Linked DNA regions of Oryzias latipes. The protein of the gene in region 2 interacts with the protein of the main gene of each other region in a pairwise test. Links are inferred from orthologs where the notes say so. Each region holds a gene or a part of one and is shown on either strand. Other genes may lie near its edges. The genes, in order: snx7, tex11 and ing3.

Region 1 (10,461 bases), on a different chromosome or scaffold from region 2:
TTCAGGCTGAACGTTGGAGGCTGAGACAGAGAAACAGCAGCAGGCGGGGGTCTGACCCATGGGGGAGGGCTGGAGGTGTCTGGAATGATCAGAGTGGACCCAACTCTTTGAATGAAGGAGTTGGACAACGGTCAGCGGTCCTGAGGACAGACGGAGGTCCTCACAGGTCCAGCAGCATCTCCTCAGTCCCTCTGACTGATGGACTCCCCCCTCTGAGACACCAGGAAGGACTCCCACACCGCCAGGCACTGAAACAGAGGAAGAGTCATTAGTGGAGGAAGGACTGAAACTGTCCAACCAAACTGGTGTCTCTGATAGTTGAGGGCAGAAGATCCCACTCTGACTGACAACCATCACCTGAATCCAGGTTCAGCACCACCAGCAATGTGACCTGCTGCATGTCAAAGGTCAGATCAGAGCAGACCCACAGACTGCTGGTGGTAGGTCCCCCCCCCCCCCCCCCCGAGGGACCCGTGCCCCCCCAGAGGGACCTGCCTCATGTCTTCATCTCCCCTCATTATCTGAGGAGCTGCAGACTTGACCAAGCAGATCCACATTCACTGCAGGAAGCAGTGATCTGGAGGAGGCAGCCACACCGTGCGAAAGGCCCCCCCTCCCTGCACGTCCATGAAAGGCTGTGGACTGGGGGGGTTGAGGCAGCTGAGGCAGAGCGAGCTCTGGAAGGAAGGGCGGGAAGACAGATCCGAGCAGGAGCGCTCAGACCCGGTTCCATCCTTCCAGTCCGGTGGCTGTGACCCATGTGGACCTAATCTGAAGCAGAACCTCCATCTGCACCGGATCAGAAGCCATGACGTCTGCTTGACATCAGATCGCCCCTGTTCATCCCTTCAGGGTCGCCATAGCCAATCAGATTTTCACGGGGGGTTTGGCAGAGATTCTTACGCCAGATGCCCTTCCTGACACAAAGCTGGATTTTCAGGGCACAGGAAGACCCGGACAGGGTCCCACTGCAACAGTATTCTAACACCTTTGTCAGAAAATGTAGACAAATAAACATCCAGTTACTTTTCAGCCTGACAGATTCGTTTCAGGTCACCTAAACCTTGGAGGTTTCCTAAAAGTTCCTGTTCCAGGTACCACTTTCTGCATCCTGTGGTTCTCACAGCTGTTGTACTGCTGCCCCCTGCTGGATGAAACCTGCAGACTCATTTCAACAGCAGGACCATGCAACCGGGATTCTGTGGTCTTCTATCCAGCATAGCGTGGCTTTCACCGTTTTGTGTTACATCTGCTAGAATTAGAATTGAAAGATTTGATCTCCCGGGGCTCTTTTAAAAAACTTTTAAAGGAACGTGAGACAAAGCTTTCAAACTGTAAATGCTTTATTTAAAACTGTCTTTTATGATTGAGTGTGAGTGTATATAAGGGTTGTGTGTTATTGTTGTGCTGCTGCCTCTTGGCCAGGACGCTCTTGCAAAAGAGATTTTTAATCTCAATGAGTGTTTTTATCCTGGTTAAATAAAGGTGAAAGAAAAAGAAAAAAGGAAGCCTTCATCAAGTCACCTTCTCGTAATACTCCACGTTCTTCTCTGCAGTAGAGGTGAAGGCCGCCTTCAGGTCCGTTCTCATGGCGTTCCTCCAGCGGCTCCAGTCCACATGTAAGGCGCTGTTGGACTTGTCCATGCGGTCTGCCAGCTCATCCACCTCGTCCTGCAGCTGGAAGCAGAGCAGACTTCCTGAGCGCACAGCCCCCTCCAAAACAAGTCTTCATGCATCCCTGCTCTGTTCCTGCCATCATCGTCCCTTTCTCTGGCTGTCAATCAAACACGAGGAGGTGCTTTGAGGATGAGGAGATTTCAGGAAGCAGAAAGACTGGGCTCCGAGTCTCTGCAACCTTAACAGTCAAAGAGCCGTTTGGATCAGTTTCCCACAGAAATGAGAACAAAAAAACTCAAAAAAAACGGCGTTTCCAGTGGACGCCATCATTTCCCTGGTTTGTAAAGTTTTCACTCGTTCTTCTCTTCTCATTCAACACGTACTGTCTGCAAAGACGGTCCTGGTCGGTTTGATGCCCTGGACGAAAATATCATTTACTTTATTATTAAACATAAGTAAAACAGACTTGTTTAGTTGAATTGACAATAAGGATATAGTGTGTAGTCATTTCACACGTGACGCATCAGATGGTGTTTTCTTTTTGAAGGCTGACTGGTTCTGGTAAAAATTGCCACATATTTCTGTTAATCTTTACTCCTCCAACAGTAAATTTGGGCGTATTTGGACCCCGCCTCCATTCCTTCATCCTTGGAGTGTTTGGTGTCGACTCGCAGTGTGGCGGGGGGCGTGGCATCACCATGGTGTCTCTCCATCGTGAGGTCAGTCACCCATCACGATGGAAGATGGTATCGTCCATCGGCACAACCCTAGCTAAAGAACAAACTGCTGCCCCCATGTGGGGGAGGAGCTAAAGCTAAGTGCACAGAAAGTCTGAATCTGATACAGTCTCTCCACAGGGAAAAACCCCTCAAACAGACAAAAACAAGAAACCTTTGGGGTCACGCTGAGGACTTTCCCCTCGTCTCTGAAGAATCTTTGAAAAACCCACAGCGCCACCTTCAGGGCGACACTGCCGGATTGTAGCCCCCCATCGATGGAGCCCCCTGCTTCACCTCACCAGCAGACGAGAGCTACACGAAGGAGACAAGGTCACACTTACCGCATCCAGATCACTTCTTCTGGACGCCAAGGCGTCGCTCTTCGCTTCAAACTCAGCCTGAATGTTGTCCCTCCTCCTCATCACGGCCTGAGCAAACACACAACAGTCGTTAAAACACGTCCCACATCCTGTCACACGTTTCTCTGTGTGAGACCCTGATCCACTCAAACCTTCTTTAAAACACTTTCCAGTGATTTTCCATTCTTTACTGACTAAATACAATAATAAATGATAAATAATTAATAAATTATCAAGTTAAGTTTTGATGGGGAAAAAAGTGTTTGGAATCAAAAGCACCAACTGCTGGTTCTATTCTAAGGCCAGCTCAGTGGCCTTGTGGTAGAGTGTCCGGCCTGTGACCGGAAGGTCAATGTTCAAATCCAGGCCAAAGACTCTAAAAATGGGATGCAATGCCTCCCTGGACACTCAGCATTAAGGGGTTGGATTGGGGGGGTTAATCCACCAAATGCTTCCTGAGCGCGGCTGTGTCTGTAGCTCACTGCTCCCCCAGGGGAGGGATCAAATGTGTGACAGCTAATGGTACTTTAACTATTCAAAACCTTAGAATTTACAGCCAGAAGTGTGTTTCTGCAGGGAATGCTGGGATGCGCGGCGGTGCACCTTCAGGGTTTCTGCACACAGGACGTATTCGTGCAGCGCTGGGACCAGGACCTCAGACAAGTGCTGGATCCGCTCCTCTGTTTCCTTACAGCACCGCTCCGCGCAGCTGGCCACGCCCTTCAGCGGCTCAGACAGGTTTTCCTCCGACCCCGCCCACTGGGCGTAGGTGGAGCTGTACTGCCTCAACTCATCCAGGTACTCTGGAAAACAAAACTCTTTAGAGGCGGACTGGAAGGCGGGATCGGTTCATTGGATTGGCCCTGACCCCCAAAGTGATCACTGCTGGAAAGTTCCACTCATTTCTGATCCAAGCCTCCTCTTGTGAGGCTGCAGCCACAAGCTTAGCTTCTGCCTGAAGGTTCGGACACACAGAACACAGTCTTTGACGGAGCCCACAACAAGCCAGAGTCATCTTTTCCACAGGAGGGGCTTTGGTTTCTGCTGCTTCTCTGTTCCACCCAGCAGGAAACACTGCAGCTGACCCACTTCAGAGCGGAAGAAGTCAGCCGATGTCCACCAGGAAATAATTGGTTGTAGCAGTTTTTATGTGAAAGACGAGTCTGGACACAGATAGGGGTGTGACGATGACCTCATCACCGCACGCTTTTCTTTTTAAAGTTCTGCATTTGGTGCGTGATTGGAACTATAAACACATTAAACACAGTCATCTTTGCTGATAGTTTCCTTTTTCTGATAGTCCCGTGCTCAAACTTCAAGGGTTTCTGGGGGAAACCTTTTATTACTGTTCTCCTTCACCTTCACCTTCCTCATGCGCTGCGTGCGCTCCCTCTTCTCCCTCTACTCACACACACGCGGGGTTTCAGCAGCACACACGCATCCTCATTCTACAACAGAAGTTTCTGTCTCGCGGGGAAATACGACAAATTTACTGCGTTCTAATGATTCATTTCTATTACAAGCTGTGTGCGTTCTTGAGTGCGCCGCCCGTTAACCACGCCCCATGCTGGATCATCACCGCGGTGATCAAAAGTCCCACACCGTCACAGCTCTAGACACATTAGTTTCTGTTGCCACGCACGGATTCACAGCTACCAAGGTAAAGAGGATGTTTTCACGTTAGTCTTGTCTTTCCAGGACAGCTGCTGCTTGAAGAACAAAGCCGTTAAAACCAATTCTCTGAAGATCTTCCTCATCCTTCAGACAAAACAACTGAAAACCCCAGAAATGGCTAGTCCTAACAAACCTCTCTGTTCCTTGATGATCCTTTGGGTGACTTTGTCCACAGAGGAGATCTTGCTGCTGAAGTTCTCCACGTAGTCCTGCAGGACCTCGAACTCCTCCGGTCTGTCCTTCACGCCGCGGACAGAGTTGGCCACGGCCCTCATCGTCTCCCCCATCCTGCTGAGGAAACCTGAACCCTGCTTCTTGTGTGGCGCCAGGTCCTGCAGGATCACAGCAGCAAAGCTCTTCATGTTGATTTTTGATTTGATTTGAAATGGTTTATTTCAAGCAATTAAGTACAATAATACACAACAGCAATATAATCATCAGTCATACATTCATACAGTAACTAATCAAACTTAGGATAATTAGACATATTAATAAATATTGCTTGAAAGGGAGTGGAAGGAAGCAAACTTATATAATCCCACCCCGTTATACTATAACCATTTTATTACATGATTTATCAATATCCGGTTCCTAGTTTTTATCAGACAGAATTAAAAATCATAAGATATCGATAAAGCACATGACAAAGATGAATTACTTAAGTATTACGTCAGTAATAACTATTTTAGAAATCAACAAATGCAGATCAGTCATCTGAAATATATGCAGATTATGTTACTTATAAAAGTCATTCATATGAATAAAACGTAATACTATATCAGTAAAGTAGACACAACACTGTTTCAGGAATTTTCATAGCAAAATTTCATCAAGTATCAAAAGTTAAAAACATGTGCAAAGTTATGCTACATTAGTAAAGATTTTTGAATCAATTTATCAATTTTTGGAGAAAGTGAAGTAATATCATTAAAAGTCAATCAATTTAACAATTTTCAATAAGTGATTAATCATTTGTTTTACTTTTTTTAATATTTTTTTTGTATTTTTATTATTATTTTTTTTTATATAATAAAGTAATGCTGTAAGGGGAAAGTAAAAAGGGTCTATAACTGTCGATTGTCCAAGGTTGTTAGATTGTTAGAGCTGGAGCTGAGCAAAAACCCGGTTTTCATTCCCTAACTTAAGAAGAACCCGTTCACAGCTCCAGAAGGTTAAGGTGAACCGCTGAGAAGGTTAACAGTGTGTGAAAGCACTGTGCACCGTGTCTACATGGATGTGGAAGTTCTTCATGTTTAATGCGTGATCGCCGCTCACAACAGAAGATCTGCTGCTGAACGTTCATGACTTTGACACACATTCATGCTTGAGGAATCTAGATTTGAGCGGCAGATACAAGTCAAAAACAGCATTAATGGAGAAGAGTTTGGAAGCCCGGGACAGTGAAGGGAAGAACAGCTGAGGACTGTTCCCAGGACACTTCACACACAGATCTGTACTCTGCCAGATGAAAAGATGGAGTAATGGGCAGCTTTAACAGCAGCAAACATGAACTGGCACTCCATCCACTCAGAACAGCAGCAGACCTGCATGGAAGCATGTTTTATGTCAATACTAAGAGGGGATAAGGCAGGGCTCCAGACTGCGACCAAATGGTCGCATTTTGCAACCAAAATTTGAGAGTGTGCGACTGAATTTTACATCCAGTCGCACATGTGCGACCAGTAAATTTGCCTCCCCCAGCCTCCGTATTTTTTTTCATTAAACATGGAAGGGGCACGTCAATGATCAATGAAATAATCAATGAGACACGAGCGCACACGCACGCAACCACACAAACTCGCACACATACTCATGAGACGCGAGCGCACACACTCGCAAACGCACAAACTCGCATACATACTCATGAAACACGAGCGCACACACACGCAACCACACAAACTCGCACACATCCTCAAGAGACGCGAGCGCACACACACGCACGCAAACGCACAAACTCGCATACATACTCATGAGACGCGAGCGCACACTCGCGTGATGCCTCTCTGTGAGGCGGCCACTGCGTGTGAGAAGAATAGGGAAAGTCACTGTAAGTGGCTAAATGCGTGGAGGGGGCGGGGCCTAGAGATAATCGAGCGCGCGTTGGAAGGAAACGGAGATAAAAATCATCACAACCTGCTATGTGCGTCTGAGCTATGAGTAAGTGAACTATTGATTCGTTCTTCCGACCTGCAGCCAGTGTACCAGTGCCAGAGTGTACAGCAGGGGTCTCAAACTCGTGAACCAAACCACGGTTCTCATGCACGGCTGTCACTGCAGCACACCGCTTCCACGGGAGTCGGGTCAGCTGAGGAGAATACATGCCCCACACCTACATGCGTGACAACTAACGGGGCTTGAACTTTAAACACGTGTGAGCGACAACACGATTTAGTCTTAGTCACATTTAAAACACGTGGGGAAAATGCAACGATAGACGTGTTTAAGATGAGCCAGCGCTGCGTCTGGATTGTTGGGGAGACCAAGGCGGGGGGGGGGGGGGGGTGGGGTGAAGGCGAAGCTGCAGCGAGACTTAAGGAAAACAGGAAGTTGTTGTCCTTAAAATTCAATTTAGTTTTAATATGCCTCTTCCCCTTAGTATGATCTGTGATTTTATATCTTTTATAATTATTTTATTTTTTTGTAATGTATGTAGCCAATTTTTAATCAGTTGGCATATTAATTTATTTTAATTGATCAATGAACTACAAAAGCCCATCAGGACACATGTCCCATAATGCATTGTTTTGTAGTCATCACGGCAACTTTCAGTCAGTTCAGTACTAAATTTCCAGCTGTGTTCGCGTAGGTTGGCGCTTTGCTCCCGCCCCTTTCTAGTGATATTTTTTGGTTTTGATTGACAGGTGATGTTGGAGCAAAAACAAAAATGTATGTCTCACACCAGGTGATCTGTGCAGCGTTGAGTCCACCTGGGTGATCTCGAACACGCTTATTGTGCATCTTGGCTGCACCTATTTGGTATCACCAAGATGAATTTCCATCTCCTAATGTTTACATACATTTAAGTATTGTTTGAAACTGTGAAATGACCGAAAGGTTACTACGGTAATCACTTTGTTACTAAAAACTTTTTTTATTATTCTAAATGTATGGTATTTTGTTTACTATTTGTACTGTCATGACAGTGATCCTTTTGTCAGTTTACCTCGTTGTTGCATCTTCAAAAGTGCAGAATAAAATGTGACACTGAATTAGAAACAGCACATTGTAATTTCTGCATCTATTATTAAAGTATTTATTAGTAATACAGTGGAAATTAGTAGATTTGGTTAGCATGTTGATTTATGGTATGCGCCCCTAAATTTTCTGGTTGTGCCCCTAAAATTTTCAGTTGGGGGCCACAGTGCTCCTAGTGAAAAAAGTTAGTCTGGAGCCCTGTAAGGTCAGACTGATCATGGAGTTCCTGCCTCCTCATCCACACAGCTGGAGGAGATTCGGTTCCTCCCCTCACAGGAGCGTAGCTTCTGGCTCTGGAGGAGTTACTAGAATGTAAAGTAGACCAGCTGATGTACAGGGGTTGAGCGGCCAACCTGCCTGCCCTTGCGTCTAAGTGTCCTTGGGCAAGACACTGAACCCCACATTGCTCCCTGTAGTCATAGGTTGGCGCCGGTGTTCGGCAGTGGCGCCGCGCCTTCAGTGTGTGAATGGGACAGTGACTATAAAGCACTTTGGGCTTTCTAAGAAGGTAGAAAAGCGGAAAAGCGCCATACAAGTGTACGTCATTCAGATCTGCAAAAGAATGTCTGAGTTAATAACACTTAGCATCAGGATAAAGCAAAGCAGCAGACAAAGACTTGCTTTGGTTTGTTAGTTGCAGCTCAAACTGCAAAGACTTTTGGGCCCAACGAGGACAGAATCAGAACCCTTCAATCAACAGGATGACGGGTTACCTGTGCAGTGAGGAAGACTTTGAAGTGCTGGCTGTGAGACAGGACAGGATGCTCTGAAATCCTGCTGAGAAAGCGCTGCAGAGCTTTTCTCCGGGTCTCAATGAAGTCGTCGTTGAAGCGCTCCACCATGCCTTTCATCACAAACTTCTCTGGGAGGGGCTGCAGGACATCAGCCCTCTGTCACACCCGAATACCCTCAGACACACCCTTCTCCCCCCGCTCAGAGTCATACATACGTGGACGATGAGGGTGGGGTGACTCTCTTCCAGCTTGCTCCGCAGCCACAGGAAGTCCTGGTAGCGTCGGCGGACCTCAAACTCACTGGAGTCAAAGTCGCTCCGTGTGGTCTGAGAAAACAACGAATGGTTCTTGCATGAGAGCGCGGCACACGCTTCCCCACACGCCCTGACGGCCGGAGGAAGCGCTACAGGACGTCCTTCCATCTTTGTTCAGACAAGCTGCTACATCAATGAAAACATCTGAACAGGTGGAGTCTGTGCTCATTACAAACTCCATTTACTCCCTCCAGACTGAGCACAAGCCCACGGGGAGAAAACTTTTCATTTTTGAACAGTTGACTGGAAGAGAAAGACTTTGACTTATTAGGTTCTTCTGTTATCAGACACGGTTGTGTTTTGCCACATACCTGACAATCGCAGACATTTGTGAAAAAACACAACCGTGTCTTCACGAGAACAAAGAATACTGAGGGCGAGTGGACTGAGGCCCGACCACACGTGTGTTGGAGGGGATTTGGACTTTAGCCATGTTTCCTTATAGGCCTTCCCAACCGCTGAACCCATGTAGGGAAGTTCCACCGTATTTTGACCCGTCACATTTTCCTTTTGTTTTGTTATTACAAACAGTGTTCAGACAACCAGACACTTAAAATGGTCAAATGTGGGAATGTGTCAGATGGTCCGCTCCTCACCTTGGTCACTACTCTGTACATGATGTAGGTCTCGATGGCAGTGATGTGGCTCTCCGGGTCGTCAACAGAGATGAAGAGGTCTTTAGCGTTGGCATCTTGCTGCTCTTCATCATCCTCCAGCCTGTACTGGTTGACCATGGAGCTGGGGGAGTTGGGCACTGGACCTTCATCTGTTAGGCATGTGTTCTGGGGGAGAAATGCCACACTCTTAATTCCACTTCCTGCCTCTGCAGCTCCAGTTCAGCACTAGCTGACCTCACAACCTTTCTCCATCAGCTGATTTGCTGAGGTCCCATAAAGAGAGCCAACTGTGTTTCTGAAAGGCAGTGCTTGTTATGGAAGGACACCACCAGCAGGATTAAAGTCAGGGCTCCAGACTGCGAGCAATTGGTCGCATTTTGCGACCAAAATTTGAGAGTGTGCGACTGAATTTTACATCCAGTCGCACATGTGCGACCAGTAAATTTGCCTCCCCCACCCTCCGTATTTTTTTATACATCAAACGTGGAAGGGGCACGTCAATGATCACTGAAATAATCAATGAGACGCGAGCGCACACGCACGCAGGCTGACACACACACTCGCGCACATACTCATTAAACGCGAGCACACTCTCGCGTGATACCTGTCTGTGAGGCGGCCACTGCGTGTGAGAAGAATAGGGAAAGCCACTGTGAGTGGCTAAAATGCGTGGAGGGGGAGGGGCCTATAGATAATCGAGCGCGCGTAAACATCTGTGGGAAGGAAACAGAGACAAATATCACAACCTGATATGTGCGTCTGAGCTATGGGTAAGCGAACTATTGATTCTTTCTTCCGACCTGCGGCTAGTGTACCAGTGCCAGAGTGTACAGCAGGGGTCTCAAACTCGCGGCCCGCAGGCTATTTGCGGCCCCCAAGATGATATTTTGCGGCCCCCGCCTTAATATGAAGGTTTAATGTTACTGCAGCCCGCCAGTTTGTATCAATGACACTTTTTCATTGTCGTGGGCGAAGCTGACCAACCAATCACAGTGGGGTATATGACTCTTGGGGGGCGTGACAATGACCGGGCTTGAAAGCAGGACACCTGACAGCCCCCTCCCTCCCCGGACCACATTAAGGAGTTCCTTACTTTCCTTTAGAACGTATTTATTTGCTCGTAATTTTCTACATACATGCAGTCCGTGCTGAATTTTTCTCTGGGTCACACAGACCCGGAGGAAGGTTTAGGTTTTGGTTACGGTTACGGCGGCGCATCAAACGGGTTACGG
Region 2 (10,691 bases):
AATAATATATGTATATATATACATATATATTTCATGTAGAACATGAACAGAAGTGCTTTGTTTACATTGAGTTTATATGTCAATAACAACATATTCATGATATGTGACATGATGTTTAGAAGTTGCACTGCTGTTGGCACAAACCTCAGAGCAATCAGAACCTGAACTTCCTCTTTGGAGTTTTCACACAAAACCTCCAGCGCTTTGATGGCAGTTTCCTGCTGTCCATTCTGCTAGAGGGAACAAACATTCTCTTCCACACACAAGTTCTTTACAAGCACGCAGCAGAAGAACAGATAGATGTGCAACCATGTTTTCTGACAAGTGTGCAGAAGAAAACAAAACAATCCAGTTCTGTTTCTGTTCAGCCTTTGACGGTTTAAAGGAGATTATCCTTGAAATGCAACATGATCTAAGTGACAAAGACAAGATGTTTCACCATCTTTCCACTCGCCAACACTTGCATTTGTGTTAATTTCCCTGTGACCAAGCTGCAAGTAGCACTTATGAGGCAACATATCATCATCAAAATACTACAAGTGTGGAAAATGTGCTCATTTTTAAAAGCGATGTTTGGTGATGGGTTCTACCTCCAGAGCAATCTGAGCAGCCAAACTGAGAAGGTTAGAAGCTGCAGTCTGGGATGCCAGCAGTCTGTCCTCACTGAATACTGGATTCTTGGACAGCAACGCCATCGCACTCAAGGCTTCAGCAGCTGATGAAGACACAGAAACACAGAAACCCCATTGACAATGCAATAGCAGTGAAACTGCAACGCTGGCATCAATCCAGAACTCGGCAGGACATGCATTGCATCAGTCAGTTCTGAGCGTACCTTTCTCTGCATTGCTCTCTTGCACAGCTATCTTGTAAACAATGAATTGAGTGAATATGCTGTCAGGGTCACTTCTTTCTGCCTCTTTGGCTGCTTCTTTAGCCTAAAAAGCAAATTTCAATGAAGACATTGACACCAGTCAAGTGATCCTGATTGTAGATGGACAACAGGCTCAACAGACTTTCAGACCATATTTGTCCTATAATGCCTTTCAATAGAATGAGAGCTCAGAATGTTAACCATCTCCAAATCCACAAAATGCATGACACTATTTGCTTAACCCTTGTGCTATCCTAGGCACTGTTTTATTTTGTGCTCAAATATAATTTAAGCTGTGTGAAAGTCAAACTGTTCAATTTGATTTGATCTAATGGACAACTTTTTGTTTTCTTTGTTCACTACTGGAGGATATAGATGACATTCTTCCAGTGCTTTGCTTCAAATAAACAAAGGATAATTTATCTACACTTTGGTTTGTGTGCCATTTTTTTGACTTCAATGTAACCCTTGTGCTATCCTAGGCACTTTAACATTGGGAGTGGGGTCATCTAGACCCACTAGACAGTGCTCTGAACCTTTTTTCTTCAATGATTTGTGATCTTCACTGGTGTCCATGGATTACATGAAATCTTTCCACCTTTATCCACCTTTGTCATGGTAGGGAGAACACGTCAAAGTAAGGGGGGGGTCATCTAAGATAGCACAAGGGTTACACAAAATCTACAGCAGGGTGCTCACTTTTTTGGCATGTCAGCCACTTTTGAGTCAAAAATGTCTTGAAGATCTATCTATATCTATATATACTATTAGTACATGTTTGTTAGTTACATGTTTATTTGTACATTGTTGTTTATGGACTGATAATAAAAAACACCACACTAAGATTACACAGAAAAATTTTTGTATTAACAGATGAGGCGTTTTATTACAAAAACACAAAGCAGCGACTATCGTACGTCATTCTCTGTTGTAAACTATGTAATGCGGAGAGCATGGCATTGCAAAGGCGCTGCTGGCTCTGTACGAAGCGCGTGCCACGGAAAACACTGCTTCCTTACTGAGCTCGTATTTATCGGGCGGGAACTGAGGAGCCGATAGCAGGAGGACACAGGGTGGCCCGGGCTTCAATGAACACTCCAGTTGTCCGGAGTGGTCTTCTGCAGGGGAGTTGACGTGCCGCGGGTAATGAGGCAGACAGAATTTGCGCTCAGTTAATTTAAACACGCATGTGCAGTGACGTATATTTCGTAGGATGTCCGATTGGCCGTTCTGCATGTCAATCAAGTCCCGTACTTCTTAGTTTTTGATTGGCTGATGGATTTTTTAGAAATACATATTTATTTTTTGGGTTATTTGTCTTTGCTGGCCTGCGATCTATCCTCATGTCTTTTGAGGTCATGGTGATGCTGGAGCCTGTCCTGGCTACTGTTGGATGAGGACGGAGTACATCCTGTTGTTCTGTTGCAGGGCCACACAGTTGTGATGCACAATTAACCTGAGGGAGGAAGCTGGAGGGTCTGGAGAAAATCCATACATGCATGGGGAAAGCATGCAAGCTCCACACAGAAAGGTCCTAGTTGGAATTTGAACCAGGGCCTAATTGCTGTGAGGCGAAAGCGCTAACCACTGCACCACGGTGCCACCTGCACTAATAGCTATGGAGGGAAAAGGTTCATTTGAATTTGGACAAGCAACACCTACTGGAGTCTTCGGGAGAGAGGTTTGATCACAGATTTTTCCTTCTGTCCAGACAGTCTCACCTTTTCCAACTGCTTCAGTTTTAGAAAGCAAGATGCTCTGTTCCTCTGCAGTTTGGATAAGTTCTGGTCCATCTGACCCGCCTTAAAGAAGCTAAGAGAGTAGTCATACCACTGGAGAGCTTCAGAATAATTGTCATCCTGTAAAAATCAAAAAGATTAAATAAATTGACTTCTAAAGTCAGTAACAGTCAAAATGATAGAGGGAAAACCAGGCTACTGATGAACCTCGTAGTGTTTGGATGCCTGATCCCACAGTATGATGTGCAGACTTGTGAGTGCCTCTGGTGCCAGCTGTTTACCGGTATAGTGTCCTGATCAGAAAGGAAAATCATCAAAAAAACAAACATTTCATGGATTACTACTCTAAAAAAAGCTGTAAGAAACGTTAAGGGTAGAAGTGAAGTACCGGTAATGACATCCTCTATCTTCTGTCTGCTCAGCAGCACCTTGCCTCTTTGCAGCAGCAGCTCAATGTGCAAGACAAGAGCAGTTCCCAGACTAGGAGATGACTCGAAGTGCTGACACACAGTTTTCAAATACTCAAATGCCAGCACTTCTCTAGAATAATCACAAAAGATGCATTTTCAGAGGTGCAGAATAAATGTCCTCATCCGTTTAGGATGCATTATTATTTCAAACAAGCAAATAAAGTTAAATCTGCAATCAGTTTTCTGTTTTGTTTTTAACTTCCTCACCTGTTTTCAGACATGAGCAGTCTCACTGTGTTCAGACACATGTCAAGAGAAACTTTAGATTCCAGCATCTCATTAAGACCTGAAAACACAGGTTTGTGATGCAACCTTATCTGTCTGTCACTCAAAGATTCAAATGACACACTAGGAAGCATCCAATCTAAGTGGTACAAGCTTTGTGACCACCAATATCAGACTCATTATTTCTTTCTATTCTATTTCTATTTGTGTTTATTTTTGTAGCACATCACTGACGGCAGTCAGATTATGACTGACCTGCTCTGACAGGGCTGTCTGGGGCTCTGCATCTGAGGAGAATTCTGATCTTTAAGTAAAGTCCAAACGGGGTCACACACTCCTGCCAAACACCACCATAGGAATAATCACTCTTCATCCTTTTACAATAAATATTTGACGTAATATTGCCTCACGTCCCACCTTGTTTGCTAAGCTGACAGTATTTAGAGCCTTTTCCTGAAACTTCTCACAGTCCCACTCTAAATAACACGTGGCGAGCAGCCGCAAAACTTTGGCCTGTTTATGAGTGACATTGTAAATATTTTCTTTTTCTTTTTAATGACTTGTTCTCAAAGATTAGCATTCCTGCTGCTAACTCTATTCATTCTGTCTTACGGGGTCTTACCAGAGCTTCTGATCCTGGACCATATTTCATGTTTGCTTTTCCAATGTCATAGCTTTGGCTACAAAAACAAACAAGGAGGAAGAGATGCATTTTTACCCTGGATTTTTTTATTTTATTACTTTTTATCAAACCACATTAATAAATCTACTACCTCAGCCAAAATGCACTGTCTTCAAACTTTGTCAGATTGTATGCCTCGATTCCAAAGTTGTAACAGACAACTGAGAGGTACGCCGTCTGTGATGAAAGCTCACACTTAACACCCCCCTCACTTTCAACAACATGTGCTTTGAATGTAAGAGAACAGTAAGGTAGCTGTGTTTTACTTCATTTGGCAGCCGCAGCAGTATGTCTTTGCATCGCTCGATGAACACTATGGCTTCTTGGTTGTTCCCTTGAGCGATAGCCTGTAACAAAGATCAGATTGTGTATTAAATGAAGGGAAATGAACTTCTCTCAATTAGCTATTTCAGAACCCCCCCTTCATTGTTTCTCAGTCACAATTTTACTGTCTTACACTTCACACTGCAAGTCTGTCAGAACAGCACCTCCCAAGCTGCAAAATATCACAAGAACAAATATTCACATTTAAGGTGTTGAACATCACATGCAGCACTGCTCACCGACTCAGCCTGGCACGACAGGATCCGAAGAAGGTCCTTCTCCACATCTGCCTTGGATGACAAGATGTCAGGTTCGTCATTGGCTCTGGACGTTAGCTGGCGGTAAAGGGTTTCCAAGCTCTAGGAATATACCATGTTGGATCATTTGTAAAAGAATAAAATAATTCCATCCTTCTCCTTTCAGCTAAAAACATTTCCAGATTTTATCCAACGTTTCTTTCTCACCTTGACGGCAAGTCTCAGAAAGTGATCTGCCATCTGAAAGTTTTTGCAGTTCAGCCAGGCTCTCCCTGCTTTGCTGGCCATCTGGAAGGATAAGATATCAACACACAGGCCTTATCCTCCTGAAATGCCAGGCTATAAAAAGGAAAACCTCCAGAATTACTTACCAAGATTTGTTTTCGAAAGGCGCCCTCTGTTGGACTGTCAGACTCAAAGCAGTACAGCAGGTTGCATGCAACATGGCGAACTGATGATGATAAAAAATATTAAATGAGGCATTAACCTTGCCTGTAATCCCCATAATTAGGTTTGTGTTTTAGAAAATCAAGAAAGGTAAACATTTAAAAACTATACAGACTGCAATTGGAAGAATACCTTTAGCTTTTTGGATTGCAGTTATGGCGTTTCCCACATTCTTGGTAACAGCCCAGTTCCACAACTGGACGGCACACTCCTGAATCTGTACCAGTAAAACAAGACACTAAAAACATGCCAATAACTTATATTATTAGACTTAAGCATTCAGTTTTACTACTAAAACTACTAAAAAGTAGTTAAGCTATAAAATAATTTCGAAGTTGCAGGTTCAAGATATGTTGGGATAGGGGGAAAAAATGTTTAGCTCCACATGAACATATAAAGTCAGAATTCTGAGATTAAAGTCAGAATTTTCTATGCCCTTTTTTTTTTTCTTTCTCCATGGCCCTAATCCTCTTCTGTACATATCTGTCCAGGACTATAGACTATATTAAAAATAGTACAATCTAAAACGATTGATAAATTACCTGAGGATCTGGTATTTTGAGAAAGGAATCTAAGCCTGAGACTTCAGAGAAAAGCTTCTCTATAACCTCATCGCAATCTGTTAGATCTTTCTGCTGTAAGTTTTCTGTGAGACCTGTGAAAAAGCAGAACGTTTGAAATGAATAGACACACTAAGAGTAAAAGATGTTCAATAAATATATGTGACACATCCAATAACTGCTCCCCTTGACAGTAACTTCTAGTTTGCCATAGCAGAAAAGGGTTCTGGCATATGCTTGTTCTCTTATGCTTTTAAGATCTGTGAGGCGGCAAGTTGTTGTATATGAAGCTGATGCAAATTACACCCTCCACACTTTTAAAAGTGGGTGTTAAAAAGAATTCTGTGAGTGAAGTTCACAGTCAAAGCATAATGGTAACTGTTATGTACACTTCTAAGTTATTTTTGTTGCTGCAAAGCCTCAAATCACACTTTTTTTAATAACTAGAGACATTTGTTTTTAGTTTGTTCTATTTTTGTTTTTTTCAAATCAAGCTGGACAGTGAAAAAAATTACTTGCCCTTTTTTCTTAACAATTTCCAAAATATTGATTTCTGCCAAATGTTCTTTATCGTATTTATCCAGGATTGAGCAAAAAAAAATAATATATATATATATATATATATATATATATTATATACACACACATATATATGCATAAATGTGTGGGTAACAGAAACAGACCCTCCAGCCCCCTGAGGCATAATGCTCCCGTTTTAAAGAGTAAAATGATAATTTTGTTAACCAATTCAAAATAATAAACTTTATTTATACCCTAAAAGTCTTGCCAGCCATTGTTCCACAACAAAAATAAAACCAAGCATGTCTGTCTGTCATAAAAACAGCTTCAAGATTCTCTTCGTTAACTTTAAAATTGCTCTCATGATTTCTGTATAGATTTTTCTCTGAATAAACCCAACATTTATATAATATTATTTATGGCAGTCTGCATGTTTTTTTAAGGTAGTTTTAAAGAAAGAAAAAATATAATTAATTTGTTTAAAAAATAAAGCAAACATTTTTTTCACTCGGACAAAGGCTAAAGCTAAGGTAGGATTTATGTGCTTAATTCATTTCATTAAACTAGCTTGACAAAATAGTACATGGCCTAGCAGATGGTTTAGCTAGGTTAGCCCCAGTTATATCGCGATATAACTCATTGATTACCCCCTACCCCTGCTGATGACGCAGTTACAATTATTTATGGTTTGTATCTGTAATTAGCCGTGTAATGTAGTTGAACCGACTTATACTCACATTTCACAGTCGAAATAAATTCTTCCATTTCGAAAGCTTCCATAAGCGGGATTGTCTGGAGGAGATGTCTCACCAAAGGAGAATTTACAATCGCCCGAAAATGCCCGCGAAAACGAGGCGGACGTTGACGCCACGGAGTTCGTACTATGTGAGGTCAGTTAATGCTACTTCCTGTCTGCGGACAAACTTTAACATTAAAAGAGCCTTTTGGGCAAGTTTCTGTGACCATTGACTGTAAATGCGGACCAAAATCCATTTAGAGCCGCAAAAGCTCACTTTATCAATTAGAAAATAGAATTTATTTATGTAGTTTTCAAATATTTACAGTAATTTAACTATAACAGTGTTATGTTTTTCTGCATTTATTAATTGTAACTTTATTTACTTTTGACAAGATCCTTTCAAAATAAAACACACCCTGTGTCAAATAGGATCCTTTGCTACAGGAGATTTACTTAAATTTAAAAAGATAGAAAGATAAATCCAATATAACATTTTCTATTATTATGATTTTGGTGGGCCTTCATTTTTTTTCCTTTTACTCTCAAATATTAAACCAGGCAAAACAAATCTATATAATGTAAATATAAACTTCTACAAATGTTCCTCCATGCACTTCCTAGGCGTTTCTTCTCTTTAACCACACACAATAGATTAAACCTTTTACTGTCATGATGCTCAGTTACCTGACATTTTAAAAATCTAAAAATAAATGACAAAACGTAATTAACTCAAAATAATCCTGACTACGACAAAACCATTATTTACGCAAATTATTAGAATTTTTTCAAAGCCAAAAAGCCATAATGTAGGGACAAAGAGCCACATTTGGATTTGGAGCCTCAGATTCAGACTCCTGATTTAGGCCTATTGACTACTAGGCTATATGTTAAAAGGGTTTAAAAAAGGATATGTTATTATTACTATTTTTCTTTTTTGATGTTATGTGCTAGTTCAATTGATAAATAAAATCTATGTTACAAGAAAGCAAATATCAGGTAAGATATACAAGGTAGAAAAAAGTAGCCATCATAGTGTAGGTAATATTTGCTTTCTTATATTCTGGCTAGATGATTAATTTTTTATATATAAGTATTCTTAAATTAGCGTTTAATGTAAATAAATAACAAAATAAATACAATGTAAGAAATAACATGGAAGGGCTTTTATTTTGATAGTTTTTTCTTTCCACTCAAAGACAAAAACTCATACACAAACACACCCATACACAAAAAAAATAATCAAGAAAATAATGTTTAAGACCAGCATGAACTGAAGGTTCAAACGTTTGCCGTTGTGTTGCAATCCAGAGATACTCAGGAAAAAATTAAAACAGTCTTTGGGACCACTTGCTCAAAAACATTGATGATTAAGCCATTTCTGAAGCTTTGACACTTTATTGAGAGCAAATCTCCTCAAACAAGGAAAACACAAGAACAGTTGTGATCCATCTCCAGAGTGGCCTGTTGAACAAATTACCACAAGAGTGCAGTAACTTATTCAAGAGATGTCAAAAGACCCTGCTATCTTTGAGTAAATAATCTAAGGACTGATTAGATTAAAGTCAATCTTTTCTAAAAAATACATTTGTCTACAACATTTGGTGTAAAAGTAACACAGCACGTGAGAAAACAAACATGTTACAGTGGTGAACCAGGAAGACTTGCTGTGGAACCACAGCTTCCAGTGTCTACCAACAAATCCTGAAGAGAAATGTTCTCCATCTGTTTGACTTTAATCTGAAGCACACTGGCTGATCCACCTTTTAATGCCTTAAAAAGGACAAAAAAGTCTTGCAGGAAGAAAATAGAAATATGGTCTTAAACACACTGAGGTTCAATTAACTAAAACTGAAAAGGAATGTTATTGAAAACTGATGTGACACAGAGGTCAGGACCGAAAGGCAAAACGTCTCGAAAACTAGCAGCTAAAAATAGTTTTCTTACTTGATGTTCCTTTGGAGATAAAGTGAGGAGTTTGGTCACTTGTGTGGAGCTTGGGGTAGAGTCACTTCCCTTCCACACTGAGAGAAACTAGTTGAGATGGCTCAGTTAACTCATTTGCCTCCTGGGCGCCTCTCTAGGTATTCAGAGCGTGTCCCACCGAGTTGAAGACTGTGTCTCTCGGCTGGCCTGGGAGCACCTTGGGGTTCCCCTGGCAGAACTGGAGGACGTCTTTGTGATGAAATAGAAGCTGAAAAAGTGAACCGACATGGGTTTTTAAAACACAAAACTGGATTTTTGTGAAATTAGTTAAAAACAGAACATAGCATTGAACATAAAGCATGAAATAATCCACAAGGAAACAAAAAAGCAGAACCTTAAAGACTCACTTTGATGAAATACCTGTTTTTGGTGTTTTTAACATGTTCTTGTGGCATTTCTTTCAAGATGTAAGACATACATAAAGAAAATAAACTTAAAACTGCATTTCTGAGTATTTCTTTGTTTTAATCATTGTGAATCAGGAGCAAACGAAAAAAGTGTAATTGTAAAAAGCTCATAGTTGTCACTTAGTTACAATCAGAGGGCAACAAGCTCCCTGCTCCACTCCATTCTGATGCATCTATTTGCAGACAAAAAGATCCCTTAATTTAAATACAATGAAATATGTGATGTTGGTGGACTTTTCTTGTGTCTAATATACATTTTTTGTCTTCTTAAGTAACAAGAACTTGAATGTGTTTTATTGTATGTTTTACTATATAAATATGCTAACTTTGAACATAAATGGGCGTGCCCTGTGGTTAATATGCTGAATAAATAAAATTTAAATTAATGTCTTTTTTTTCCGCGTGTGAGCTGGTATCTGAATCAAAACTGTACGGCTGGATAGCTCCAATATTCCGTGCCATTTTTGTTGCACTGGTAATGTTAGGTTGGGGGTGTGAGCTATATGCTAGCGGGAGGGTACGTAAACAGATGGGCGATAGGAAGTGGGGGCCTTGCTCTGTGCCAACAGTCCCGCCCACAAATCAGAGGCAAATTTCTGATGAGCTGCCGTTTTACTGAAACTATGTTTTTGAAAACAACAGTTTTTTTGTTTTGGCTAAAAACAGCATAATCATACTTGAAAGACCCCTGGGAACGCTTTTACAATAGATCAAAAGATGTTCGGAGTGGGACTTTATTTCCAATTCAATTTCCCCATTGTGGGATAAATAAATAAAAAGTAAATTAAATTTAAGGCATATATTGTCATGTCAGGACTCAAAACACAACCATCAATATTTTTACACCATTGTGACAGGGTTTCATAAAATTATCAGAAGTTTAAAAGAATATTCATGGTTTTTAATGGTGATCAATATAAAAGGCATATAGTGTTCAACCATTTTTTTAGACCCTCTAATATTATACATCTTATATTTAGAATGTGTTTCATGCAAATGTGAAATACTTACTAATGTTAATATTTTTGCATGCATGCTTTTTAGTAGGGGTGTGTATTGGGAAGAGTATGGCGATACGATGCATATCACGATACGTGTCTCACAATACGATATGTATCGCGATACATATCAAGTGTCACTCGTTTTCATCTAGAGCCCACCACAAATCACCACAAACCATGTTTTTACATGATACCGGCAGCAACATGGCACATGTTAGTTCCGGTTCGGAACCCATCCCAAGCAAAAATTAAGTAGTACATGTCTCATAACAACAGAGACTGCAAGGCTGACTGAACATTTAACATGTAACCCTTGAGCTATCCTAGGCACTTTAACATTGGGAGTTGGGTCATCTAGACCCACTGGACAGTGCACTGAACCTTTTTTCTTCAACGATTTGTGATCTTCACTGGTGTCCATGGATTACATGAAATCCTCTCCACCTTTATCCACCTTTGTCATG
Region 3 (10,691 bases), on a different chromosome or scaffold from region 2:
GTTCTCCAGGCGTGGTGTTCTCCAGGTGTGGTGTTCTCCAGTTGTGATGTTCTCCAGATGTGGTGTTCTCCAGACGCGATGTTCTCCAGTTGTGATGTTCTCCAGATGTGGTGTTCTCCAAACGCGATGTTCTCCAGACGTGGTGTTCTCCAGGTGTGGTGTTCTCAAGGTGTGATGTTCTCCAGACGCGATGTTCTCCAGAAGCGGTGTTCTCCAGATGTGGTGTTCTCCAGATGTGGTGTTCTCCAGACGCGATGTTCTCCAGACGCGATGTTCTCCAGACGTGGTGTTCTCCAGATGTGGTGTTCTCCAGACGTGGTGTTCTCCAGAAGCGGTGTTCTCCAGGTGTGATGTTCTCCAGACGCGATGTTCTCCAGACGTGGTGTTCTCCAGACGTGGTGTTCTCCAGGTGTGGTGTTCTCCAGTTGTGATGTTCTCCAGATGTGGTGTTCTCCAGACGCGATGTTCTCCAGTTGTGATGTTCTCCAGATGTGGTGTTCTCCAGACGCGATGTTCTCCAGACGTGGTGTTCTCCAGGTGTGGTGTTCTCAAGGTGTGATGTTCTCCAGACGCGATGTTCTCCAGAAGCGGTGTTCTCCAGATGTGGTGTTCTCCAGACGCGATGTTCTCCAGACGCGATGTTCTCCAGACGTGGTGTTCTCCAGATGTGGTGTTCTCCAGACGTGGTGTTCTCCAGAAGCGGTGTTCTCCAGGTGTGGTGTTCTCCAGAAGCGGTGTTCTCCAGGTGTGATGTTCTCCAGACGCGATGTTCTCCAGACGTGGTGTTCTCCAGACGTGGTGTTCTCCAGACGTGGGGCCTCATTTCTAAAGGTTGCGTACGCACAAAAGAAGGCGTACGCCACTCTCTACGCAATAGTTGAGATTTATAAAAAGCAAACTTGAGGGGAAAATGTGCGGTCCTTCACGCTCTGACCCAGGCGTACGCACAAAAACGGGTGAAATGAGAAACGGCGACACCGTCGGCAGATGGAAGAAACACGTGAAAATGAAAATGACAATACTGCCTCTCAGAAATAACATGAAGACTTCACAAAGCAAGTCTGACAATTAACAGCTACACCAACACCCGTTTGATCGATCAGCAGTGAAACAAACAAAACAAATCAAACGAAAATTACAACAGAAATTCAAATGAACACTTATTTCCAAAAAGAAAAGTGAAATATTTTCTGCAATATTGGCATGTTGTGCAATTCATCCTCATAAATAATATAGTTAACAGAACGAAATAATGTACAAAACTGATATTCTCGTCAATGTGTCTGTCTGGAGGAGCAGATATAGGTGCAGACAGACAGACAGATGGATAGATAGAGAGAGATGCACTAATTTTCCACTGGGGAAAGTTGTTTTCATAGTAAAACATTTCTTCATAAGCTACAGAATTATGGTATTCATGCATATGCCTTTAGTTTGTTTTATTTTTGATAAAACAATGTATGGCGTATGTCTCAACCATTCAGAAAGCAACAAGAAATTACATTTGTGCTGATCAATTTCCCATTTCCACGTGGATTATTACCGACATCTGTAGCTTGTCAGATGTAATTAAATAGAGGGAAATAAAATGCCCCATCACAATGCGTAATGACGCACAATGGCTGATCTGGCGCTCTTAGAAGATGTGGCAAATGGAAGAATTCGGAGTGAACGCATCTTTAGACAAGAAGACTTGCTGGCAAACGAGGACGAGTGGCTTATGAGCCGGTTCCCACTTCCTCCAGCCGTCCTCTTGGACCTCTGCGGGCTTTTGGGCAGAGGAGCACTCGGAGGAACTACGCGTGTCACCCGGTGCATCTGGCGCTCCGGTGCCCTCCTCCCGATGGAGCGCTAGAAGTTTATAAGCCTCGACTTTGATGTCCGACCATTTCTTTTTTATTTAACAATGGTCCGAGGTTGTGAGGCTACAGCATTTACGGCGTCTGCCGCCGTCTGCCGCTCACGTGGCTTTTTGGCATTAGTAATGCCCACACTGTGCCCTCCAAACAACACTTTTCTCCTCTTTTCCACCTCGCCAACGATAACTTCTACTTCACATTGAGTGAAATTACGTTTTTTTCATTTCCTCTCTGTGTTTGCCATGGTTCCGCAATCAATGAATATTAATTTGTGGGCGTTTCACGGACTATTTATGGGCAACTATGGGCGTGTCATGAAGCCGCAAAAGCTGCGCTGCATTTAGAATTGGTTGTGATTTATTAAGGGAAAGATGCGTAGGATGTGTGTGCGCACGGTTTTATAAATCCCAATATTTCTGTGCGTACGCACGTCCTATGTTTCATCCGTACGCCACTTCTGACGCAAATCCTACGCAAAGTTTTATAAATGAGGCCCCTGGTGTTCTCCAGACGTGGTGTTCTCCAGATGTCCGTCACTCACATGAGAACCTTCTGTCAAACAGACTGACCGTTTCAAACTTCCTCTTTATTGGACCGACTGCAAACACGCTAACTCACATGTGCACATTTACATCCTCCACCTGTGCAGGAGGAGCACAAACTGCAGCGCCACACCCCCACCCAGCTGAGGCTCCACCCCCCTGCCATGTCGATTCGGCAGAGGAACGCAGCATGATGGGAAACCTGTCTGTTTCCTGCAGTGTGGAGGAAACCCAGTCGGGTCATTTTTGTTTGATTTGTACACCAGAGCAGATCTGGAGAACCAGCTTCCAGAACGGAACCTGAACAGCTGAGGACCGGATGGGTTCTCTCGTCCCTGACCTCCACACAAAGGTCAGACGGCTTGATGAAAGCAAGAACAGTTCAGATCAAATAGATCATCTGCTTCAAGCTCTGATAGAACCTCAGGACCGGTTCTGCTGCAGTCCGCTAATCTCCTGTGTCTATTTGTGGCGGCTGCCCCTCCTCTTCATGGCGGCCGTGCACTGTGGACAGTACCACTTCCCTTTGGGCGCCTCGGTCAGGCCCACACAGCCATAGTGGAACCACTCGATGGGACACTGAGGAGGAAGAGGACATCCTTCAGAACCGCCTTTCAACCAGGTTCCAGAACCTCACCAAAGCTCATACTCACATCTGTGTTGTCACAGCCAACCATCTCCCCATAAGACACCTGGACGAGATCCAACAGGAAGCAGTTAACAGCGGAACCTACAGGAAGTGACCTCACAGCGCGGTAGCGGGCATACCTGGTTGCAGATGCAGTACCGGGGCTCGTTGGGGTCGTAGGTCCAGTCCACTTGGCTGTTAGCCTCAGCTTCCGGCAGCGCCGACGCCTGCTGAGAGAGCTCCTGAGCCAGTGCCGAGGAGGAGGAGCAGGAGGACAGGGAGGAGGAGGAGGAAGAGGAGGACTGGTGACTGGAAGACTTGATGTTGCTCCTGGAAAACAGGGACTAGAGGTCAGACGGGTCCGAGACACCTGCGGTGGGACGGGGGTAACTTACTTTGACTTCCGACCTCTGGAGTCAGAGGTGGTGCTGGGAGTGAGCGTCTGGGTGAGGGTGGAGGCCAGGGCGGAGGAGGAGTAGGAGCCGTCCCGGGACACGGAGAACTCTCGGCCCAGCTGGAAGTCGTTGTTCTTGATGGCCTCGTAGCTGGCTTTGAGGCTGGAGGTCCGGCGGCCTTCCTTCATCTGATGGGACGGAACAGACGGGGGATGGAGCGCCACCAGCGGGGCCGACATGCACGATTTTAGGATGGGGGTCGGGTTCTGACCTGGGCTGTGGCCTGTACGGCCTGCGCCGCCGCCAAGGTGATGGCGCCGGCGCCGGCCCCGGGTCCTGCGGGCAGAGCGCTCAGGTTGTAGGAAGCCAGGGGCTGAGAGGAGTTGAGGCTGTAGGCGCTGTTGGTGGATGCAGACATGCTGTTGGTGCGGCAACCTAGGGGGCAGGAGGGGGGGGGGGCAGTTAGCTGCGTGGAGGCTCCGCCCTCCAGCTGCATGGCTGTTATCTGCAGATGCTACCTGGCGTGTTCTCCTTGGACGGATCCGAGGTGAGTGTAGACAGCAGAGCCTCAGACTTGAACTTCTTCTCAGGAATGTGCTCCACCGTGTGGTGGGCGGGGGCGCTGCACTTCCTCTCTGTGGACAGAGGACACGGTGACACGTGAACCTGCTGCAGAGGTCCTGACATCACGAGGCGGAGCTGAGGGCGTGCAGCAGCTTACTCTCGGCTGTTATGTGCGAGTGCATGTGATGGTTGTTGACCGGCTGGGAGGGACTGTCCATCTCCAGTGACCCTGAGAAGAGCACAAGGTCACCGCTCTGCCTTTCAGCCCCAACGAGTCGCTCTGGAATCGAACTCACGTCTCTCCAGGATCTCTGTGATGCCGGCATTGTCTGCCTCCAGCTCCATTTTGAACTTGGCCAGCTCCTGGTCCAGTTTCCGCAGGTGCCGGTCCACCTGGAGGCAGAGGAGACAACAGGTCACATGAGCTTCTGGACGCGGTGCAGCAGGTAGACCCGGTCCAGCTGCTGCGGGGCGTCTGTTGGTGATGAGGGAGGAAAGCTCCTCCCCAGTGGTGTTAGGGACAGACAAAACTGTCAGGGAACTCCGTCCTGCTACGGTGGAACCTCCAGGCGATCCGGCAAACCCAGCTGGACCGTCACTGTGCAGGAGGTCAGAGACCATCCGGTCAGAGCGGCAGACGGTTCCACTCACCAGATCATAAATCTGATTGGCCAGCTGTACTTTCTCATCTGCGTCCTCCAGGGCCTTGTAATAATCCTGAAACACACCAGAAACAGAATCTAGATCTGACAGGTTCCTTCGGGTTCCTCCAGAACCAGCAGCAGATTCCAGACCTTCTTGATAACCTCCATTTGCTCCTCTCTCCACTCAGGTTTGTTCTTCTTTGCATTGATGAAGAAATCAATGACCCTCTGCTCCAGCTGGTCTGTGGCGTCTGAAACAAAGAGGCGGGAAAGAACTAAAGCACATGACATCAGCTTTCTGGTGCTGGTTCTGGATCAGACAGGAACCTAGAAGAACTCTCTTACTGTCTCCAAAGTTCTTCCACCTGCAACTGCATCAGAGGTCAGATCTGAGACTGGGGGGGGGGGGGTCAGTCCACCTAACTCTGACCCTCCAACAGCTAGGGGTCACAGATGACCCTGGAGGACTTTACAACTGAACTAGGGCTGCACGAGATGAGCAAAACTCGCCATTTCCAACATTACTGATGAATATTGCAATGACCATATAAGTTGTGATGCATATAGCAAACTATCTAAATAGATCATTTCCATTTCACTGCAACAGCTTCAATTAAATTTAAAGTGTACGTTAAATTACACTCCGAATGCCCCCCCCCCCCCCCCTACATCAAAGGGCTCCATCTGGTTGGTCAAATGCATTAATGGATTTATGTGATTCCTTAAATCCTTCAAGCTGCCATAAGATTGTTTGAGCACATTTAAAGTTACATTTATCACAGCTTGATATCAGGATAACGATAAATGAGTGACTGAATGTGCCTCAACTAACAAATACTGATGTGATAAAAGTTTGAACAGCAGCTGCGGTCATGACGTCAACATGAAAGGCGGCGGATAATGAAGGGATGTGCTTTGATCACCATGACCGCCTGACAAAAAGGGGAGGGGCTTCAGAATCTCAGCCACATATGCGTAAAGTGGCGCACGCAGCTCTACAAAACCTCACTTAGTGAATTATTAAACGAGCTGAAAGGTTGATAAGTTCCGTTGACGTGACTGAGGTGTCACCGGGTTCACGGACATGTCAGGTGTGTTAGCTCCGGTAATCTGGCCTTTTTTAACCGCTCGCTGGCGGTTCGAGTCTCCGTGCCGCGGCAGATGTCCCAGCCGAGCCCGGTGGTTGGCGGAAATACGTACTCTGCACCTGCAGGTCCATCTCCCGCATTTCCGTGAACCTATCGCGGAGGTCCATGGGAAGCTGCTCGATCACTGCCGGAAAAGGAAAAACACGTTAGCATCCGCTGCAGCTAGGCTAACGGAAATGCACGCGGCGGCCACACATAGACACACACTGTGCACACATAACGGGCCGAAGTCGGTACCGCCGCGACGCCCCGGTCCGGTACTCACTCTCAAGGTAATCTTCTAGGTACAGCATGGTGGCAAAGTTCGCGCTTTGGCCGTTTTAGGACAGAAACGGCTTCTTCCAATATGGCGCTGCCTCGCTGACAAAAACACTGGAAAAAAAATGAGGTCAGACTGCGCCTGCGTGACGTACGCGGCTTTCGGATTGGTTCAACAATGAGGGCGCGGTTTTTCCTGTTGTTAAAGGAAATGCATCATGGGAATAGTAGTTTAACTTGCATACTTTTGGACTTTGCACCAAATAAAGATGTTTTACTTAAGATTTTCGCTAATATTATAAACAGAAGGTGGGCTTGGCCTGAGATTATTTAGCTGCTGAGACCTTAAGCAACGGGTCTGTTTGTCTGTGATGAAAATATCAGGACAGAAACGCTGCTATAAACCAAAAATCACTTCATAAGGAAATCACCGATCTATGTTTTGCCTATCTGCACCTTTCTTTCCTTCCTTTCTTTTTAAATCTTTTTTTTTTCTTCCTTTTCTTTTAAAGTAAATTTTATGTTGATTATTTCTATGATGTATTGTGATTTTAATGCATTTTTCTGTTTTGTGAAGCACCTTGAATTACTTTGTGTACGAATTGTGCTATACAAATAAACTTGCCTTGCCTTGCCTTGGACATGATCTGCTTCCATGCCCTCACAAAGTTGAGCAAAACATCTGGAGTTCACAGCATTACTTTGAATGAAGTTGATGGTTTTCACAGTGACATCCATCACCTCATGGAACTCTGGAGACATTTTTTTTGCTGCAAGGTTTTCACGGTGGAGAAAACAATGGGTCCATTTAGCTTCTGGCGCAAGATCAAGTATCTGCTTGATGACACCGCGATGCCTGCCAGTCATTGACGCTGCGCCATCACAGCACACTCCAACACCGTTCTGCCAGTCAAGGCCATTCTCAGTGAAGTAGTTATCCATGCAGCGGAAACATTCCTCAGCTGTAGCTCGAGTTGGAAATTCTCCACAAAACAGAATGTCTTCTTGCAAAGAGCTATCCCACCGGTAGCGAACAAAAACCAACAGCAGCGCAGCATTTGTGACGTCAGTCGACTGGTCCAGCTGCAAAGAGAAAAAGGGGCTCTGTCTTATTCTCCCCAGAAGCTGCTGCTCAATGTCTGAGGCCCTGTCAGCAATATGGTGACTCACAATGTCATTCGACAGCGGGATGGTCTTGAGCTTCTTTGCTGCAGCCTCACCAATCATCTCACGGCACATGTCCACAGCGGCAGGCAGAACCAGTTCCTCCGCTATGGTGAACGCTTTCTTACTCTGCGCCACACGTCTGGCTACGAGGTAGCTGGCCTTTAACGCACACTTAGCGTCGCCAGTCAGTGACACGATGGACCCCCTCTGCATCTGAAGCCCATCATCCTTTCTTTTGAAATAATCCACTGGCTTTCCAATGAGCTTCGGATGTTTGGTTTCCAGATGGTGCTTTAATTTTGACGGTTTTAGTGCTTCATTGGATAATGTTAGCCCACACTCAACACACTGGGCTCTGCCTCACTGCCTCCGTTCACAAAGCCGAACTTTATAAAATCAGGGTTGTATTTTCGTATAAATTTCGCCTTTGAAGGGGGACTGGCATAACTTTGTACTTCATTTTTTCGTTTTAAAAACTTCTCCATGTATCTGCAACTGCTTTCTTCACTCTTGTAATCAGGATCTCCCATTTATTCTATAAAAAGTAGCATCAGAGAACAATTACCAGACTAAAATGTCAACGGCACTGTGCTGCCAGTCAGAGGACAGAAAATAAAAATCTTCGACAGTTTTAACACAAATAAAACGGACATTGTGCCATCAGTCTGCGGTAAGACACCAAGACAAGTTGGAGTCCAAGAAAGAACGTGGTCTTGCGGCTGTCCAAAGGCTCTTTTTTAAACTCTGTATTAGTCCCGATCTTACCTCTAGTCCAGCAACTGACAGAACGAGAGGGACGCAGGCCACCTGCAGTCGTGATTTAATTCAGGGTTGTTATAATATGTTTAAGTTACTCTTTCATTAACTTTTGACCAAAATAGATCGTTATACAGTTAACGTTATTAACAGAGAGAACATTAGTACGTCTTACTATCAATCGGATATCCTAGCGTTTGCCCGGGAAACTGCAGCAGCGCGAGACGTGGTGCGTCAGCAATCAGTGACGCTCGTGCCCCCCAAACACACACCCCACACCCACACACCCCACACCCACACACACACACACACACACACACACTAGGTAAGATGGGGCTTAAAAAATCCAGCCCGACCCCACCCGCGGGTATTAAAGCCCGACCCGGCCCGAGGCTGACCAATTAACTTATTTGGCCGAGGCTCCATTGGCGCATACCTCACTGTCACCAAGTGGTAGGAAGCGGCATTCTACGGAGTCCTATACTGTTCATAATTAAATAAATAAATATTTAATTAAATAAATAAATGTGACCTCATGCAAATACACAATCAACCAATAAATCTCTCATAAATATATAAAAAGATCATGAAATGGTGAAAAACCTGCACACAGATTTTAAATTAGCCATTGTATTATTCAATATATTTCATTTTGCTTTAAAAACCTGTTCATTATTTTAAAACAGCATTTTCAAATATTCATTTTTAATCATGTGGAATATTATTATAATTCTGTCTTTTTTCAGAATCTCGTATATCAAAATCAACATTTTCCAAAATAGCTTTGTTTTTAATTCATGTTGCTGTTTTTCACAATGGCTGATTTATTTAATGAAGAGCTTTTTCAGGAGAATGAGTCTGTCTGTCAGTGAAAGTGGGCGGGATCTAAACGCTCATTGGCTGATCCATGGAAATCGACTCATATTCCTCGATACCCGCACAGCGGTGTGCCAGTCAGAGAGATGACATGTTTTAGTGATATCTGCACGGCTTTGCTGACATTAGAGATCAAATAGAGTCAAACAATCTGTCTGCTGCAGCAAACATGGAAGACTCTGTTTTTGTAGTTTGAGGGTTTGTGTGGACCAAACCACAGAGGAGCTCCGGTCGTCCACGTCTACAAGTCCCCCGTTGCAACACTCCTCATTCTTACGCCATTCACTCAGAGCTCACATCATGCCTGATGTCGGCTGGCAGGAGGTGAGCTGGCGGACCGACAGACTCAGACCAGGCAGCTGCGCAAAGCGGGACAAGCCTGCTCAGCCCTCCTGAACCTTATGATATGTTTCTATTTTCATTGAGACAATGATTATAATCAGGTCCTCTGATTTTATTTTTCCCTCCCGGGGAAATGTTGAACCTTTCCTGCGATGACGTTTCTGACCGTGGTTGGAAAACGCAGCGGAGATTGAGCAATTCTGCAGCCAGGGCTTACTCCAAGAATCAGGTTCTGTACTTTGGAGGAAACAATTTTTTACTACTTTTCCGTGGAACTGGGCAACAGACCCTTAACTTGCGCTCACACATAAACTCTTGCGCTGCCTGGGCTCTCTGATTTACACGTAATATAAGACGTAGTTTGACTGCAGGAGCTGAAGCAGAGGCTCTCTGGGATGATCTCATGAACTCATGAAACATTATTATCATGTGGAACTATTCAAAATAAATAAACCTGATCTCTTAACACTCTCCATGTGCATTGTGCATCCATGCATTTTTACTGAGATAAGCACAGGCGACCGCTCCACGTGGCTATCAGGCTAAAAACATTAGCTGGGGGGGGTGACCAAGATGGCGCTCTGAACAGTCGTGTTTGGCTGAGCTCTGCAAACCTAACTGTTTTTTGTAATAATACACGGTGAGCAAAGACCCTTTCTTGATTTTTTTTTTACTTCTTTCCAATTTCTTTATACTTTTTGCATAGTTCTCAAAGCAATATGAGCAAAGCCGAGAAGAGAAAGATGGAACTCAAGAAATCGCTAGCGAGTGTTGGCTCTGTTAGCAAACCTGCTAACGTTAGCCATCCTGCAAAGCCGTCTGCGTCGAGTAAGACTACTGATGCTAAAGTCAAATTAATAGGCTATATGCACACGGAGGTTATGACGTACTTCCGCTAAAATCTCAGCCTGCTAAGCCATTTCCGCTCGCGCTGAGGCGATTGTTTACAAAGCGATATAACAGCAACTACAATATGACTAGTAAGAAAACGTTCAAATTTCAGCGAACAATCTATAGTACAGCCGAGCATTGCTGTGTGCCTCTGTGTCAAGCTTCGAGCAAGTACAACAGTTTACTTAGTTTTCATACATTTCCATCTGACGCGGAAATCAGGCGAAAATGGCTTGTAGCTATCCGGAGGGACAAATTCACAGTTACTCCCCATACCCGAGTATGTAGCCGACATTTTAACAAGGATGATGTTCGTGAGCCCTTATCAGAGACGGGGAGGCGGCTATTAAACAAGGGAGCTGTCCCAGCACTGTTTGAGTGGAACAATTTCACCCTTCCCACTTCACGACCGGGGGTGTGGGAGAGGAGAGAGCGTCCGCCTCCGATGACGGAGGATGACGGCGACGCAGGCGAGAAAGCTGATATCCCTATGGACCACGACTACGCTTCGGCTTCAGATCCTGCAGTTGTTGATTTAGCCCTTGATGACAACATGTCTCTCAGAGATGAGATTCTCAAGCTGAGGGAACACGTCGAGAAGCTGACAATGAATCAGCGCTT

Evidence for each region.
Region 1: the proteins of tex11 (region 2) and snx7 interact in binary tests that used the Homo sapiens proteins (3 or more experiments, as listed by UniProt). The two-hybrid records come from large-scale screens. The link is inferred for Oryzias latipes from reciprocal best matches to the Homo sapiens genes TEX11 and SNX7.
Region 3: the proteins of tex11 (region 2) and ing3 interact in a two-hybrid assay, tested with the Homo sapiens proteins (2 studies listed by BioGRID). The two-hybrid records come from large-scale screens. The link is inferred for Oryzias latipes from reciprocal best matches to the Homo sapiens genes TEX11 and ING3.

Annotation. Positions count from the first base shown.
Region 1 is NC_019878.2:924,686-935,146, reverse strand, and holds part of snx7 (sorting nexin-7), read right to left. Parts: intron 9,395-10,461; coding exon 9,209-9,394; intron 8,625-9,208; coding exon 8,514-8,624; intron 8,437-8,513; coding exon 8,278-8,436; intron 4,702-8,277; coding exon 4,503-4,701; intron 3,499-4,502; coding exon 3,299-3,498; intron 2,765-3,298; coding exon 2,678-2,764; intron 1,678-2,677; coding exon 1,525-1,677; intron 249-1,524; coding exon 183-248; 3' UTR 1-182. UniProt on the Homo sapiens protein: Involved in the regulation of endocytosis and in several stages of intracellular trafficking. Together with SNX4, involved in autophagosome assembly by regulating trafficking and recycling of phospholipid scramblase ATG9A.
Region 2 is NC_019868.2:11,383,256-11,393,946, forward strand, and holds the start of tex11 (testis-expressed protein 11), read right to left. Parts: upstream 6,996-10,691; 5' UTR 6,878-6,995; coding exon 6,835-6,877; intron 5,674-6,834; coding exon 5,561-5,673; intron 5,236-5,560; coding exon 5,151-5,235; intron 5,023-5,150; coding exon 4,943-5,022; intron 4,860-4,942; coding exon 4,779-4,859; intron 4,674-4,778; coding exon 4,554-4,673; intron 4,338-4,553; coding exon 4,257-4,337; intron 4,168-4,256; coding exon 4,082-4,167; intron 3,989-4,081; coding exon 3,931-3,988; intron 3,822-3,930; coding exon 3,726-3,821; intron 3,646-3,725; coding exon 3,564-3,645; intron 3,370-3,563; coding exon 3,291-3,369; intron 3,154-3,290; coding exon 3,002-3,153; intron 2,907-3,001; coding exon 2,821-2,906; intron 2,734-2,820; coding exon 2,596-2,733; intron 939-2,595; coding exon 836-938; intron 716-835; coding exon 591-715; intron 234-590; coding exon 145-233; intron 1-144. UniProt on the Homo sapiens protein: Regulator of crossing-over during meiosis. Involved in initiation and/or maintenance of chromosome synapsis and formation of crossovers.
Region 3 is NC_019881.2:24,129,891-24,140,581, reverse strand, and holds ing3 (inhibitor of growth protein 3), read right to left. Parts: upstream 6,166-10,691; 5' UTR 6,074-6,165; coding exon 6,046-6,073; exon of another isoform or gene 5,989-6,045; coding exon of another isoform or gene 5,988-5,988; intron 5,905-5,987; coding exon 5,833-5,904; intron 4,884-5,832; coding exon 4,783-4,883; intron 4,706-4,782; coding exon 4,640-4,705; intron 4,382-4,639; coding exon 4,285-4,381; intron 4,218-4,284; coding exon 4,146-4,217; intron 4,060-4,145; coding exon 3,943-4,059; intron 3,860-3,942; coding exon 3,696-3,859; intron 3,613-3,695; coding exon 3,425-3,612; intron 3,360-3,424; coding exon 3,170-3,359; intron 3,094-3,169; coding exon 3,055-3,093; intron 2,981-3,054; coding exon 2,864-2,980; 3' UTR 2,425-2,863; downstream 1-2,424. Other genes in the region: uncharacterized protein LOC111946929, read left to right, coding at 1-169, 346-409, 474-903; uncharacterized protein LOC111946928, read left to right, coding at 10,153-10,691. UniProt on the Homo sapiens protein: Component of the NuA4 histone acetyltransferase (HAT) complex which is involved in transcriptional activation of select genes principally by acetylation of nucleosomal histones H4 and H2A.